Diceros bicornis minor: one gene and its partner. The protein of the gene in region 1 purifies or fractionates together with the protein of each later gene. This does not show direct contact. Links are inferred from orthologs where the notes say so. Each region holds a gene or a part of one and is shown in the gene's direction. Other genes may lie near its edges.

What was found. The genes of interacting proteins can lie anywhere in the genome.
Region 2: the proteins of NKAP (region 1) and CSNK2A2 purify together in Homo sapiens (affinity purification with mass spectrometry; 5 studies listed by BioGRID and IntAct, counting the BioPlex papers as one, with this or other methods). This does not show direct contact. The link is inferred for Diceros bicornis minor from reciprocal best matches to the Homo sapiens genes NKAP and CSNK2A2.

The regions. Positions count from the first base shown.
Region 1 is NC_080781.1:110,402,512-110,410,515, reverse strand, and holds the start of NKAP (NF-kappa-B-activating protein), read left to right. Parts: upstream 1-5,004; 5' UTR 5,005-5,115; coding exon 5,116-5,501; intron 5,502-7,794; coding exon 7,795-7,875; intron 7,876-8,004. UniProt on the Homo sapiens protein: Acts as a transcriptional repressor. Plays a role as a transcriptional corepressor of the Notch-mediated signaling required for T-cell development. Also involved in the TNF and IL-1 induced NF-kappa-B activation.
Region 2 is NC_080771.1:11,518,475-11,526,469, reverse strand, and holds the start of CSNK2A2 (casein kinase II subunit alpha'), read left to right. Parts: upstream 1-4,990; 5' UTR 4,991-5,272; coding exon 5,273-5,376; intron 5,377-6,188; coding exon 6,189-6,300; intron 6,301-7,995.

The DNA.
Region 1 (8,004 bases):
TATTCTGTGCTCTTGGATTGGAAGAATTAACATAGCTAAGATATCCATACTTCCTAAAGCAATCTATAGATTCAATCCCTATCAAACTTCCAACAACATTTTTCACAGAAATAGAACAAAGAATCCTAAAATTTATATGGAACAACAAAAGACCCCGAATAGGTAAAGGAATCCTGAGAAAAAAGAACAAAGCGGAGGTATCACACTCCCTGATTTCAAAATATACTACAAAGATATAGTAACCAAAACAACATGGTACTGGCAGAAAAACAGACACACAGATCAATGGAATAGAATTGAAAGCCCAGAAATAAACCCACACATCTATGGACAGCTAATCTTCAACAAAGGAGCCAAGAACATACAATGGAGAAAAGAAAGTCTCTTCAACAAATGGTGTTGGGAAAACTGGACAGCCACATGCAAAAAAATGAAAGTAGACCCTTACCTTACACCATACACAAAAATTAATTCAAAATGGATTAAAGACTTGAATGTAAGACCTGAAACTATGACACTTCTAGAAGAAAACATACGCAGTACGCTCTTCAACATCGGTCTTAGCAACATATTTTCAAGCATGTCTGACCGGGCAAGAGAAACAATAGAAAAAATAAACAAATGGGACTACATCAAACTAAAAATCTTCTGCACAGCAAAGGAAACCATCAACAAAACGAAAAGACAACCTAACAATTGGGAGAAGATATTTGCAAACCATACATCTGATAAGGGCTTAATCTCCAAAATATACAAACAACTCATGCATCTCAACAACAAAAAAACTACCAACCCAAATCAAAAATGTGCAAAAGACCTGAACAGACGTTTCTCCAAAGGAGATATACAGATGACCAACAGGCACATGAAAAGATGTTCAACATCATTAATTATCAGGGAAATGCAACTCAAAACTACAATGAGATATCACCTCACGCCCGTCAGAATGGCTATAATTAACAAGACAGGAAACAACATGTGTTGGAGAGGATGTGGAGAGAAGGGAACTCTCATACACTGCTGGTGGGATTGCAAACTAGTGCAGCCACTATGGAAAACAGTTTGGAGATTCCTCAAAAAATTAAGGATAGAACTACCATATGATCCAGCTATTCCATTGCTGGGTATTTACCCAAAGAACTTGAAAACACCAATGCATAAAGATACATGCACCCCTGTGTTCATTGCAGCGTTATTCACAACAGCCAAGACCTGGAAGCAACCTAAGTGCCCATCAAGGGACGAATGGATAAAGAAGATGTGGTATATATACACAATGGACTACTACTCAGCCATAAGAAACGATGAAATCCAGCCATTTGTGACAACATGGATGGACATTGAGGGTATTATGCAAAGTGAAATAAGTCAGAGGGAGAAGCTCAAATACTGTATGATCTCCTTCATTAAGTAGTAGGTAACAACAACAACAAACAAACACATAGAGACAGAGATTGGATTGGTGGTTACCAGAGGGGAAGGGGTAGGGATGATGGCGAAAGGGATAATTCAGCACGTGTGTGTGGTGATGGGTTGTAATTGGTATTTGGGTGGTGAACATGATGTAATCTATGCAGAAATAGAAGTATAATGATGTACACCTGAAATTTATACAATGTTATAAACCAGTTACTGCAATAAACAAAAAATTAAAATAAATAAATAAATTGGTTGCATTTCTATACACTAATAATGAACTAAGAGAAAGAGACCTCAAGAAGACAATCACATTTACAAATGCAACAAAAAGAATAAAGTATCTAGGAATAATTTTTGTTGTTGTTGTTAGGAAGATCAGCCCTGAGCCAACATCCATACCAATACTCCCCTTTTTGCTGAGGAAGACCGGCTCTGAGCTAACATCTATTGCCAATCCTCATCCTTTTTTTCCCCAAAGCCCCAGTAGATAGCTGTACGTCATAGTTGCACATCCTTCTAGTTAGTGCATGTGGGATGCGGCCTCAGCATGGCCGGAGAAGTGGTGCGTTGGTGCGTGCCCGGGATCCGAACCCGGGGTGCCAGTAGCGGAGCGTGCACACTTAACCGCCAAGCCATGGGTCGGCCCTCTAGGAATAAATTTAACCAACAAGGTGAAAGACCTATACAATGAAAACTATTAAGACATTATTGGGGCTGGCCTGGTGGTGCAAGTGGTTAAGTGCACGCGCTCCGCTGCGGCAGCCCAGGGTTCGCCGGTTCAGATCCCAGGTGCGCACTGACGCACTGCTTGTCAAGCCATGCTGTGGTGGCGTCCCATATAAAGTAGAGGAAGATGGGCATGGATGTTAGCCCAGGGCCAGTCTTCCTCAGCAAAGGAGGATTGGCAGATGTTAGCTCAGGGCCGAGCTTCCTCACAAAAAAAAAAAACAAAAAAAGACATTATTGAAAGAAATCAATGATGACATAAAGAAATAGAAAGATATCCCATGTACATGGACTGGAAGAATAAACATAGTTAAAATGTCCATACTACCTAAAGCAATCTACAGATTCGATGCAATCCCAATCAGAATCCCAATGACATTCTTCACAGAAATAGAACAGAGAATACTAAAATTTATACGGTGCAACAAAAGATCTCAAATAGTTAAAGCAATCCTGAGAAAAAAGAACAAAGATGGAGGCATCACAATCCCTGTCTTCAAAATATACTAAAAGCTATAATATTTTTTGTGTGTGAGGAAGATCAGCCCTGAGCTAACATTTGCCAATCCTCCTCTTTTTGCTGAGGAAGACTGGCCCTGGGCTAACATCCGTGCCCATCTTCCTCCACTTTATATGGGGCGCCACCACAGCATGGCTTGACAAGCAGTGCGTTGGTGCGCGCCTGGGATCTAAAACCCTGGCCGCTGCAGCAAAGCACGCACACTTAACTGCTACGCCACCAGGCCGGCCCCAAAGCTATAATATTTAAAACAGCATGGTACTGGTACAAAAACAGACACACAGATCAACGGAACAGAATTGAGAGCCCAGAATCTATGGACAGCTAATTTTTGACAAGGGTGCCAAGAACATACAGTAGAGAAAAGAAAGTCTCTTCAATAAATGGTGTTGGGAAAACTGGACAGCCACATGCAAAAGAATGAAAGTAGACCATTATCTTATATCATACACAAAAATTAACTCAAAATGGATTAAAGACTTGAATGTAAGACCTGAAACCATGAAACTTCTAGAAGAAAACATAGGCAGTATGCTCTTTGACATTGGTCTTAGCAACACATTTTCAAGCACCATGTCTGACCAGCCAAGGTAAACAATAGAAATAATAAACAAATGAGACTACATCAAACTATAAAGCTTCTGCACAGCAAAGGAAACCATCAACAAATCGAAAAGACATCCTAACAATTGGGAGAAGATATTTGCAAACCATACATCTCATAAGGGGTTAATATCCAAAATATATAAAGAACTCATACATCTCAACACCAAAAAACCAACAAGCCAATTAAAAAATGGGCAAAAGATCTGAACAGACATTTCTCCAACAAAGATATAAAGATGGCCAACAGGCACGTGAAAAGATGTTCAACATCATTAACTATCAGAGAAATGCAAATCAAAACTACAATGAGATATCACCTCACATCCGTCAGAATGGCTATAATTGACAACACAAGAAATAACAAGTGTTGGAGAGGATGTGGAGAGAAGGGAACTCTCATACACTGCTGGTGGGAGTGCAAACTGGTGCAGCCACTATGGAAAACAGTATGGAGATTCCTCAAAAAATTAAGAATAGAACTGCCATACAATCCAGCTATTCCACTGCTGGGTATTTATCCAAAGAACATGAAAACATGAATGCATAAAGATACATGCACCCCTGTGTTCACTGCAGCATTATTCACAATAGCCAAGACTTGGAAGCAACCTAAGTGCCCATCAAGGGACGAATGGATAAAGAAGACGTGTTATATACACACAATGGAATATTGCTCAGCCATCAAAAAGGTGAAATCCTGCCACGTGCGACAACATGGATGGACCTTGAGGGTATTATGCTAAGCGAAATAAGTCAGAAAGAGAAAGTCAAATACCGTATGATCTCACTCATAAACAGAAGATAAAAACAACAACAAACAAACACATACCAGACAGAGATTAGATTGGTGGTTATCAGAGGTGAAGGGGGAAGGGAGGAGAGCGAAAGGGGTGACTGCACACATGTGTATGGTGATGGATGGTAATTAGTCTTTGGGTGGTGAACATGATGTAGGTTTCATACAGAAATCGAAATATGATGTACACTTGAAAATTATATAATGTTATAAACCAATGTTACTGCAATAAAAAGGACAAAAAAAATAAAAACAGTACAAAATATATAGAAATAATATCCATCAACCATGTATTGCTGAGCTAGCATATGATGGGACTAGTTTAAGGGGCTGGACGAGGAGGAGGTTACAAATTCCTTTTGCTGGAGCACACTGGTGGCGATAGGTGGTTGGGGGATAAATATGCAGTTTTTCTCTGGGCTGCGAACTTAATTGGAGTGTATCAGGCTCAAGTCATTAACACAGAATTTGTGCCCTCTAAGCTAACTGGGCAATATGTGGCTTAGACATCATAGCTCACCACCAATATCGATAAACCCTCCTTATTTTGCTTGGGATCGGAAAGGAAAAAGTGTGTGTTTTTGTGTGTGTGTGTGTGTGTGTGTGTGTGTATACTCCTACATACATACATGTACACATAAACATATAAGTATATAAAATTACATAGGCTTTGTTGTTCATACGGCTGCTCAGCGAAATGTGTCCCGTGGCCTGTCGTCCTTTCCTTCAGGCATTTCAACTCGAGGCTGAAGAGAGCACAAGGTCTCTAGTACAGCTTAGACTTGAGGAGCCTCACTCGGAAGAGGAAGAGTGCGCGGACTCGGTTGCCTCACCGGCTACTTTATACCGATACACACATCCTGTCCTGTAGGCAGGACCACCTAGGTCTGGGGAAGGGATTTGCCGACGTACCCGGAAGTGTTTTCAAGGTTCCTTCAGGTTCGGGTAGTGGCGCGGCGGCGGGTTCTGGGAGCCAAGGCAACCGAGATCTTCCCAGGCTCGCGAGAGCGCCCCCTTCTCCCGCTGCTGCGGGGACCCAGCGGCAGCGATGGCTCCGGTGTCCGGCTCGCGCAGCCCGGAGCGGGAGGCCTCGGGCTCTGGGGGGAGGCGTCGCAGTCCGTCGAAGAGCCCTAAACCCAGCAAATCCGCCCGCTCCCCCCGGGGCCGCCGGTCTCGCTCGCACTCTTGCTCTCGGTCCGGGGACCGGAACGGCCTCAGCCATCAGCTGAGTGGCCTCAGCCAAGGCTCCAGAAACCAGTCCTACAGATCCCGCTCGCGCTCCCGCTCCCGCGAGCGGCCCTCTGCGCCGCGGGGCAACCCTTTCGCTTCTGCCTCCTCGTCCGCCTATTATGGCGGCTACTCACGCCCCTACGGGAATGACAAGCCGTGGCCTAGCCTCCTGGATAAGGAGAGGGAGGAGAGTCTACGGCAGAAGTGAGTGAGACGCACCTTCTCTTCCATGAGCCCACCTGTCATCGGAGTCCGATTTATTGTTCATCCCGCTTCTGACTATTCGCATTTCGCTCTCTCTGCCTGCCTTGCGCCCATTTTCATCCCTTCCTTCAATCCACCCAGGACAACACCTTATTCGCCCTCTTCTTCCCTTAGGTTCTCGAGCCCCTTCATGCAGTGCCCTGGTCTCCCGCTGCCCCATTCTGCCTCCTGGCTTGTAGCGGGCATAGCCAAGAGTCTCAGACCTACCGAATTTTATAGCATTTTCTTGGTTGTGTCGTTGTCATTCATGAGCATGTTTTTATTCCCCACTAGACTGAGCTCATGGAAAGGAGGAGCCCTATTTTATTGCTCACAAAACTCACAGTGCTCAGCACTTTGTAGGCGCAACCATTGCTTGTTGAATGATCAGACAGGTTTGAGATGATAACAGGATATGTAAGTGGAAATGCTTTGTAACAAGTTGAGAAAGGTTGAGATTAAGTTAGATTAGGGAGGAGGAAAACCTCTGAGACAAGATGATTGAATGAATGTAGGAACTGTAAATTAGGCTACGTTGAGAAAGGTCTTGTTAATAGGTCTCAATCTTGACCATGAAAAATGAGGTCAGAGTGAGATCAGGTCTCCTCTAATGAGAGTGAGTATTGGAGTGAAAAATGGATAGTTTAAGAAGGAGAAAGGAAAAGGGTTATAATTATTGCTGTGTAAGCCTTAATATCTAATGCTTATTGAGTGTTAAATTATGTCAGGCACTGTACTATGTGCTTTACAGACACTATGTGTTAAAAAACAAGAAATTTAAAAGTAGTATTACAAGCACTGAGGCACAGGTTAAGTTTCCAAGAGCTGGAAGGTGTCTTCAAGAATCTTTTTCTTCCAGGAGTGGGAAGTAATAAAGCACAGTAATGAAGAGGACAAGCTCCAGAATGAGACTGCCTGAGTTTGAAGCCGTGCTTTGCTACTTAATAGTTTCGTGACCTCTCTGAGCTTCATTTCTTCCCCATTTAAAAGGGGATAAAATTAGCAAGAAGGCTTTTAGAGTTGTAATGATTTAGTGCCTGGAGCATAATAGAGTCTTTAAGTGTCAGCTGTTAGAGTTTTGTGCATTGGAGCAGCAACAGTACAAACAGGCCTGAGTTAGGTTGGAGACCTACCTCTCCAAATTAAATTTTTCAGAAAGTTACCCCTGGCTGTGTCAGTCAAAAAGCAACCAGCTTCTTAGTGGACAGTCTTCACCAAAAGATGTCGGAAATTCTTGGATGAAATTTGCATTTGTCCGTTTAGAAGAAAATTTAACTTAAGGGTACACATGAAGCCAGGTGGCAGCAGGGGTGAGAACTTCATTGCTTGCTCTTTCCAGCCTGTCAAGCATTCTTCCCCTATATGCGTATATTCCAGGTTCTGTTATAAGTATGTCCTCTTTTAGACTGTCTGTTTCTTCAAGTGGAAAACCTGAGTCTGACGCTGCATGATTATAGCTTTTCCTCTGAATAAAGAAGTAAAAAAATAGTTTGTTCAATCAAACCAATTATATTTATTTTGTAAGTTGTTTTTTTTAATGAAGTTACAAGCGGCTAAACTTGGAGGAATTGAGCCTTAGTTTTTTTGTGGTTTGTTTGTTTATGAGTAATAGCAAAAATTAAAAGAAGAAATCACAAACATAAAACAAGAAAAAAATTTTAGTGTCCTCCAAGAGTAGACGGAGAATGTACTCCTTTTCCAAAAAGGAATTAAAGAGAAAACGAACCCTGTGTTTCACTGAGTACAATTTTTGTCAAATAAAACTTTTCTTTCATTTTCAGAGCCCCCTTTATTTTCTACTTCTAATGCTTCATTTTTAGTTTCTTCATTAATTCCTGAGTTTCTGAAAATGGAAGATTTGACCAAATCAAAAATAAAGACTTCTCTTTCATAAATATGTGTAAACAAATGAAATTATTTGCAAATGTAAAACTGTTTCTGTCACATACTGGAAAAGATGAAATGAGCAATTAGGAGCTATGTCATGCGTGCAGCAGAAGGGATGCACTTGACAACCTCCCAGGCTGCATTTCTAGCCCGGCTGTTCAGGCTGTCTGTAATCTGTACCATTTGATAGTGCTATCAGAACATCAGATCCTAAGTGTTGAGTTTACATTTAAACCAAGTTTTTATTAATTTAAGTTTAAAATGTAAAGGGAAAATAGGATTTAACTGCACTCCTTTGATTTTGATTATATATTTAGGAAACAGAATTTAGCCATGGAGTTATAATTTACATGCCTGTATCTTCTAGGAGATTAAGTGAGAGAGAGAGAATTGGAGAATTGGGAGCTCCTGAAGTATGGGGACTTTCTCCAAAGAATCCAGAACCAGAGTAAGTGATTAAAAATATATATTTTTTTAAATGTAACGCTTAAATCCAGAATCTGTTGTCAAAATTTTTGTTAAGTGAAGTACAGCTCACATTTAAGTACAGCTCGCATTTTTTTCTTCTTTCCTGTGA
Region 2 (7,995 bases), on another chromosome or scaffold:
ATCCAGGATAATCTCCCCATCTCAAATTCCTAATCCCATCTGCAAAGTCCCTTTTTCCATGTAAGGTAGCATATTCACAGGATCCAGGGATTAGGAAGTAGGTATCTTTGAGGGGCAGAAGGAGCGTTATCCTGCTCACCACAATTACTTGTGTCACTTTGTAAAAACACTCATTAAAAAACTCTTATATAATAAATTTTTTCTCATCACTAAAAATTCCTGGTCATCATAATTTTTAATGATGCCTAATATTTCACTGTAGGGATGTACCACAATTTATTTAACTGATCTCCCAATTGGGGATATTTATGTTGTTTTACATTTTCATGATTAAAGATGATTTTCATAATGAATATCTTTGGCCCTTTTTGGGAGTATATTGAATCAGAAAAAGACTAAGGAAATGGATTTCGTGGTGAGAAAGACCTGAGTTCAAATCCAGATTCCGCCTCAATTATCCATCACTGAAGTCTTAGATAACTAAACTGCGGAAATGGGATCCTTTCAACAGCTCCAATATCACATGATTTTTTTTATATCTTTTCTTTTTCTCCCAAAAGCCCCAGTACACAGGTGTATATTCTAGTTGTAGATCCTTCTAGTTCTTCTATGTGAGCAGCCAGAGCATGGCTACTGACAGACAAGTGGTGTGGTTCCACACCTGGGAACCGAAACCAGGCTGCCGAAGTGGAGCATGTCGAACTTGAACCATTAGGCAACCAGGGCTGGCTCAATCATAGGATTTTTTTTAAACAGTTTTCTTGAGATATAATTCACATAGCATACAATTTACCCATTTAAAGTGTAAATTCAGTGGTTTTGAGCCTCAGGGTTTTTGCAGGATTTGATGATATTGAACACACAAATTGTCATTACTATTAATAATTCTTTGATGGTGACTTACACTATTTTCTTAGGCTAGGTTCTTAGAACCAGAAATATGGGATAAAAACCTATAAACCTCTCAAAGGTTTTGGAAATAAGCCCTGTGAAGATAGAAGGTGTTCCTCTGGAGGTTTTAAATTTTTGTTTTTTGGGTTTTGTGTGTGTGTATATGTTTGGATAGAATTTGGTATGAAATTGTTGGGCTATTTGACTCAAGAAGCCCTCATGCCTTCTCCCTTGTGTAACCCTGAATTACACTCACCCCAAACCCACACACACAGTAATTAGGGGAAGTCGATTCTGGTTTACTGAACCTCCCTGCCCTGTCACCCACCCTTGCAGAGCCACCAGCCTGTCCCTCTCCATATCCAATGAGACTCACTCCTTCAGCGAGTGTTGCATTGGTACCATCTCCAACTGCCCATCTAATTAATTACACCAAGCATGCTGCCTGACAGGCTGGCAGGAAAGAGAGGCAGTGGGTCTCCGCCAACTCCATGGGGTACCCAACCTACCTACTAACAAATTGTAAAAACATACTCCATTTGGCTGTGGGAAGACTGACTGCAGGTTTTAGGGCAGAGTTAGCGAAGTGTCAGCCAAACCCAGGAGCACGTTGCACCAGAGTGATGTGTGGGTGAATCCTGAGGCATCCTGGCAGGTGTGGGAGCAGGTTACGTGAGATGGGTGTGGGTTAGGTGGTGAGGGATGAGAGGAAGGTGCAGGAAGGGTGGGTGGGGTCAGAGGTGCACCAGGGTGGAGGTGAGGAACGGGGCCCCAGTCAGGGTTGGTCCTAGTAGTTAGACCAGTGCTTTGGAACCATTTTTGGGTCATGGCGTCCTTTGAGCATCTGATGGATGCTGAGGAAAGAATGCGTGCGTGCGCTCACACACACACACACACACACACACACAGACACACACACCACAAATTTTGCACACAACGTCAGGGTTTCCTGAAACCCAGGAAGTTCATCCAAGGCCCAGGATTAAGAACTTCTGGGCTAGAGCCAGCCCTGATGGCCTAGTGGTTGAAGTTCAGCACTCTTACAGCTTCGGCGGCCCAGGTTCGCTTCCCAGTTGCAGAACACACCACCCATCTGTCAGTTGCCATGCTGTGGCAGCGGCTCACATAGAAGAACTAGAAGGACTTAGAACTGGGATGTACAACTATGCACTGGGGCTTTGGGGAGGGAAAAAAAGAGGAAGATTGGCAACAGATGTTAGCTCAGGGCGAATCTTTCCCTGCAAAAAAAAAGAAAAGACCTTCTGGTCTAGACTAGTTTACAGAGACTTGTCAGAAAGAAATCCTAAGGCTGCATTAAGAGCTTGAGAATGTTTGTGTCTTCTCTAGTAAAAGAGATTTAGGGAGGTCTGTGGGTTTGGGAATTAAATTGTAAAGTCCAGTTATTCCACAAATGCTTTATTTAGTTTCTTCCAGTTTTTATTTTTAAAATGTTCAAATCTACCAAAAAGTTGCAAGCTCATGTAGTCTCCAATTGTCAACATTTCTCCCTAATTACTCCGCTCTCCTCATGGATGCTCGTGCTCTCAGGAACCCATGTTTTCCTGGAGACTTTCCTTACCATTTGAGAGTAAGATGCAGATATTATGATACTTCATCCCTAAACACTTGGCATGTAACTCCTAAAATCAAGAGATTCTCCTTCATAACCACAACATAATCCCCACACTCACCAAACTTAACATTGAAACAATACTATTATGGAACATACATCCTATATTCAAATTTCCCCAGTAGTCCCAATAGTGTCCTTTTAGCTTTATTCTTTCTCCTTCCCTGCCTCCTTCCATCCCTCCTTTCCTTCCTACTTTTTCATCCAGGATCAAATCCAGAATTAGATACTTCATTTAGTTCTCTCTCTCAGGCTCCTTTAATCAAGAACACTACTCCAGAGTTTTGTTTTGTTTTTGCTTGTGACATTGACATTTTGGAAAAGTTCAGGCTGTTTTGTAGAATGTTCCCTAGTTTGGATTTGTCTGTGTTTTCCATGATTAGATTCAAGTTAAGCATTTTTGGCAAATGTTGCATCCCTTCTTGGTGCCTCACATCAGAGGGTCTGTTGGCCCCTTATTGATGATGTTAAGTTTGATTCATGGTTAAAGTGGTGACCTCCAGGCTCCCCTTTGAAATTAATAGGTGATCTGTGGGGTAACATTGTATTTGTTTAAAGCCTCCAACTGAGGCAAATGCTGGGTGAGCCAATGGTAAACACCCAACTCTGTCCTCTCTCTCAGGCTGTTTTTACAGTGCCAGAGGCAGACAATAACCTAGGAAACAAACAAATAATTACAAAATAGGCAGGTTTCTGAAGGATGGAGATAGGGTGCTGAGATAAGAGAAGTATCAACTCTAACACTTAAAGTGAGCTTAAAGGTGAGACTTGAAGAGGAAAAAGGAGTCAGCCGTGGGAAAGTGGGGGTGGAGGGAGTGGAGGTGGCCTTGGTCAACCTTGGAGGGTGGAAGGAACTGAAAGATGGGCATGTGGTGGTCTAAGGGAGGGCAAAGCGATAGGAGAAAGGCCCTGGGTCTGGTAATAATAATGTTGAACACTTAGTATCTGCTAAACACTGTTCTAAGTATTTCACATGGTTTACTTTGTCTAATTCTCTCCATAGCCCTGTGAAGTAGGTGCCATTACTACTTGTGTGTGTGTGTATGAGGAAAACTGGCTCTGAGCTAACATTCATTGCCAATCCTCCTCTTTTTGCTGAGGAAAATTAGCCCTGAGCTAACATCTGTGCTCATCTTCCTTTATTTTGTATGTGGGATGCCGCCACAGCGTGGCTTGATGAGCGGCATGCATAAGTCCACGCCTGGGATCCGAACCTGTGAACCCCAGGCCACCGAAGTGTGAGAACTTAACCACTACACCACTCAGCCAGCCCTGCCATTACTATCTTCATGCTGTAAAATCTGCAGCACCGAGACATTCAGTTATTAGCCCAAGGTCACACAGCTTGTAAGTAGCAGAGCTGGGATTCAAATCTGGATGGATCTGACTCCACAGTCTGTGCTCTTAACTACATTAAGAAGGAGGAAGCAAGGTCTCACCTAGAAAATAGAAAGTGAAAAAGGATTGGAATCAGAGCAACCTGGACTGAGTGAAGAAGTTCCGCTGATAAAGGATGTGGGATGGGAAAGCAAGACAAAAGAACGGCCCAGAAGATCAAAGAGAGAAGAGAGTTCTGGCCTAGAAGGCAACATAAAATAGGCTAAAGTTTGGTTGGCTGCTCCACCTTCAGTCCATGCCCAACCCCCAGCCTGTCCCTTCAGGCGGGACTCTCATGATTCTCCTGCTCTCCATCCTCCCAAACGAAACCAGGGTATTCACACAGTCTCAAAGTATCTCCCCACAGATTGATTATTAATTACAAAGGGAAAAATAGGAACTTTACAGTGAGAAACCTGGCTGGCTGGGGGTGGGTTGGAGGGTTTGTGAGGAAGGCTCTAGATGAAAAGAGTGGGGAAGTCTTGGGGTTGAGGAGTCTATGGGTGACAGGACAGGGTCCATTGGGGGAAGGGGAGGGGTCTCTGGGAGGGATGGACAAATCTTGAGGTGGGGAGACTCTGAATGATAAAAGCCAGTCATTGGGGAGGCACTTGATGGGAATAGTTTGGGTGACAGGAGGGTCAGAATAGGGTCTATGGGAGGTCGGGTGGGTAAATTCTGGATGACTAGAGGGTAGAGAGCTTGGGGTAGGAGTGTCCAGGGAAGTCCTGAAAGGGTACACGGAGGGTAAAGCTTCAGGGCAGCAGCCTGTGGGTTGGGGAGGCCCTTTGGCGAGCGCGTGCGACCAGACCGAAGATGGGCAGATTTGGAGGGGGCTGCGGACGGCGGGGGGCCGGGGGCGGGGCCGGCGCGCCCGGCAGGTCCCCCCGCACTGCAGGGGGCGCTGTGAGCTGGGCGGCCCCGGGCCGGGCGGCGGCCGCTCCTAGTGAGCGCGGCCCCTTTTCCGGATTTCCTCCTCCTTCTCCTCCTCCTCCTCCTCCTCCTCCTCCTTCGCCGCCGCCGCGGCCGCCGCTGCCCCTTTCCCGGCCGGCGGCTGCCGCTGCTGGTGCCACCGCCGCCGCCGCCGCTTCGGGGCCGCGAGCCGAGCGGAGGCCGCCGAGGAGCGCGAGCGCCGCCCGCCCCGCCGCCCCGCCGGCCGCTCCAGGGCCGGGCCGGCTCGGCCGGCGCCCCCCGCGCCCCCAGCCCGCCCGCCCCCGCGGGCCCGGCCTGGCGCGGCCGCCCGCCGCCGCGCTCCTCCTCCTCCTCCGGCGCCCCGCGGCCCGCCGCCTCCTCCGCCCGCCGCCCCGCGCCCCCGGCCGGGCCGCCGCCGCCGCCGCCCTCTGCGCCCCGCGGCGCCCCCCGGTCCCGCCCGCCATGCCCGGCCCGGCCGCGGGCAGCAGGGCCCGGGTCTACGCCGAGGTGAACAGCCTGAGGAGCCGCGAGTACTGGGACTACGAGGCTCACGTCCCGAGCTGGGGGTAACGCCGCCGCCGCCGCCCCCCGCCCGGCCCCTCGCCCCCCACCCTCGCCGGCCGCCCCCCAGCGCGAACCGCACTCGCCCCCCGGCCCTGTCTCCCCGCCCGCTCCTCCGCTGGGCCCGTGCTTCCTCGGCTCTGGGCTGGGAGGCAGAGCCCCCCCCACACATGTGCTCATCTTCCTCTCCCCCCTTTCTCGTCCGTTTCTCCCCGCCTTGCGCCCCCGTCCCTCCCCCGTGTCCCCAGGAATGCTTTCTTAGCGGCGAGAAGTGTAGGGTCCGGGGACCAGAGCCTGGTGGAAGTGAGAGAGCTCTTCCTCCTCACACTTTTGGGTTTCTATTGGGGTGGGAAGTCAGCAGCTGTCTTCTTGAGCTATTACAATTCTCGGCCTTTTTAGTCTTTTGAAATGAGGCTGGGTGGGAGGAAATTTTTCAAAGCTGTCCAGATTCTCGAAGCTGGCCCTGGCTGCCTTGAGGGTGTGAAGGATAAGACAGGTGCTGTGGCGCCCCGGGCAGAGGGGCACCCTCTGCGCCTCAAGGATGGATGCTTTGCTCATCCCTATAGATTGGCTCGGAGTGGTGCCTTCCTACCTCCTCTCCCCAAGTTAGGAGGGACCAGTTAGGTTAGGAGCTCTGAGCAGAGTGAAGGCAGCCAAGTGTGTGTTGTGGCTTTCATTTAGGGAATGAGTTGTGGTGTGATAGGTAGACACTTCCAAGTGCTTGATTAATGGAAGCGGCTGGATAGGGGTGTATAGTGGGCATAGGCCTAGTTAATCCGAAGTCCTGGCATTTATGTGTCGTTCTTGCCTTTCACAGTAATCAAGATGATTACCAACTGGTTCGAAAACTTGGTCGGGGAAAGTATAGTGAAGTATTTGAGGCCATTAACATCACCAACAATGAGAGAGTGGTTGTAAAAATTCTCAAGGTGAGTGTCTTATGAGTGGCATTAAATTTTTTTCCACAGGTCAGAAGGATATAAACGACCCCAGCCACATTCTAGAGTGAGCAATACGTGCTCTTATTTTGCGTATCTTCTGTCTCATGTCCTTCTGCTATTGCTTCTCCCACCCCATTTTCCTGTGAACTTTCAAGAAAATATGCAGACCTGTTTCGAATCTAAGTTTGATAGTTCAGGACCATCCTTGTTTTGAAATGTAGTTACGGACTCCCAAAGTGAAAATTCCAGAGGGGCTCCATTTGTTCCAAAATAAATAGGTATTCAGAAGAAAGAAAAGCCTTTTCATGAAGATTGCATCAGTCCAAGGGCTCCTTGAGCACTGAGTTTGTTACCCTTGGTGCTCTCAGTTGTTCCAGAAAGCAAGTCGGAAAAAATTGGAGCGGGTTCAAAGATGAGTTTGAAGCCTGAGTGGAGAGAAACACCTTGGTGGATAATCACTTGTTTCTTCTCCTCTGGTGATAAAAGTTTCAGGTGAGGTGGATGTAGTGAGCCAGTAGTGCCAGGAAGGTTCATTGTTGCTTATCAGCTAGTAGAAGTGAAATTGGAAGCAGTAGAAGAGTACACTTGAATCACTAAAATAGTAATTGGAACAAAGCAGTCTTAGTGTCTGGTTTAGTAGCTTAAGTTTGATAAGCTACAGCTTTTGTCATCTCTTGGGTGAAGACCCGATCTTAATGAGCGTGAGGAGTTGGCTGAATTCTCCTTCAGGTGACTGATTGTGTAGCTTTAATAACGTTTTATAGGGTGTACTAAAAAGTGATTCTTAGCATCTGTGAAGGGTTTTCATCATTACCAGATCATTTAACGTGTGTGCGTGTCATTTAGTGAAATACCGAGACAACCAAAAAGTAATTAATATAAGCACTTTTATATCTACAAGATTTCCAGTGTGGCCATTTTGCAGAGGCTCTGAATAAGAATGTGGGATTGAAAAGCTGTTTTTGTGTCTTAAGGATAGGGTTAGGGCAGCTGTGCAGCTGTTTAATATGAGGGGTCAGACTTACATTGTCTGAAAATCACCTTTTGGAAAAGTGATCAACTCTGTTAGTACCATCCTAGCCTAGTGTTGAAGAAGCAGAATTGAATTAGAAATAGGCAGTTATTTGTGCTGTTAGAAACACTGAGAGTGAGAAGTGAGGAATTGATACTGAAGATGTGGAGTTTGACTCCCCTCTTCCCTAAATATGAATTGCACTTACAAAGTCACATGGTCTTTTGTTTTTCTCTTTATAAGCATAAATATTTAAAGAAATGCTTCCTTCAGAGAAGTCACCTGGGGAAGCTATACAGTTTTTTCCTTTATACATAAGCATAAATGTTTTTAATATAAGCTGCTTAAAATCTTTCTAGGCAGTAAGCAAGGCATAAATTGAAATTAGGAATATCCTTATTCCACTGCTGTGCATTCAGAAGAATGAACTGCTGACTCTAAAGCAATTCAGAAAAATGTCTAAACTTTTGTGCCATGGCAGCATTTTTAGAATAAGTCTGCAACTTCCTGTGGTGTCTTTTTTGAAAGGAACAGCATTCAGGTGTACATATAAGTAACAGTATGTTCATTTAGGAAAGCTTTGTGTTGCTCTTTACTTATCCTTCTAGAGAACTTCATAGGGTCAGTTGCTGGATAGTGTTTCCTCTGCTCTAAAGATGTGCAGGATATGT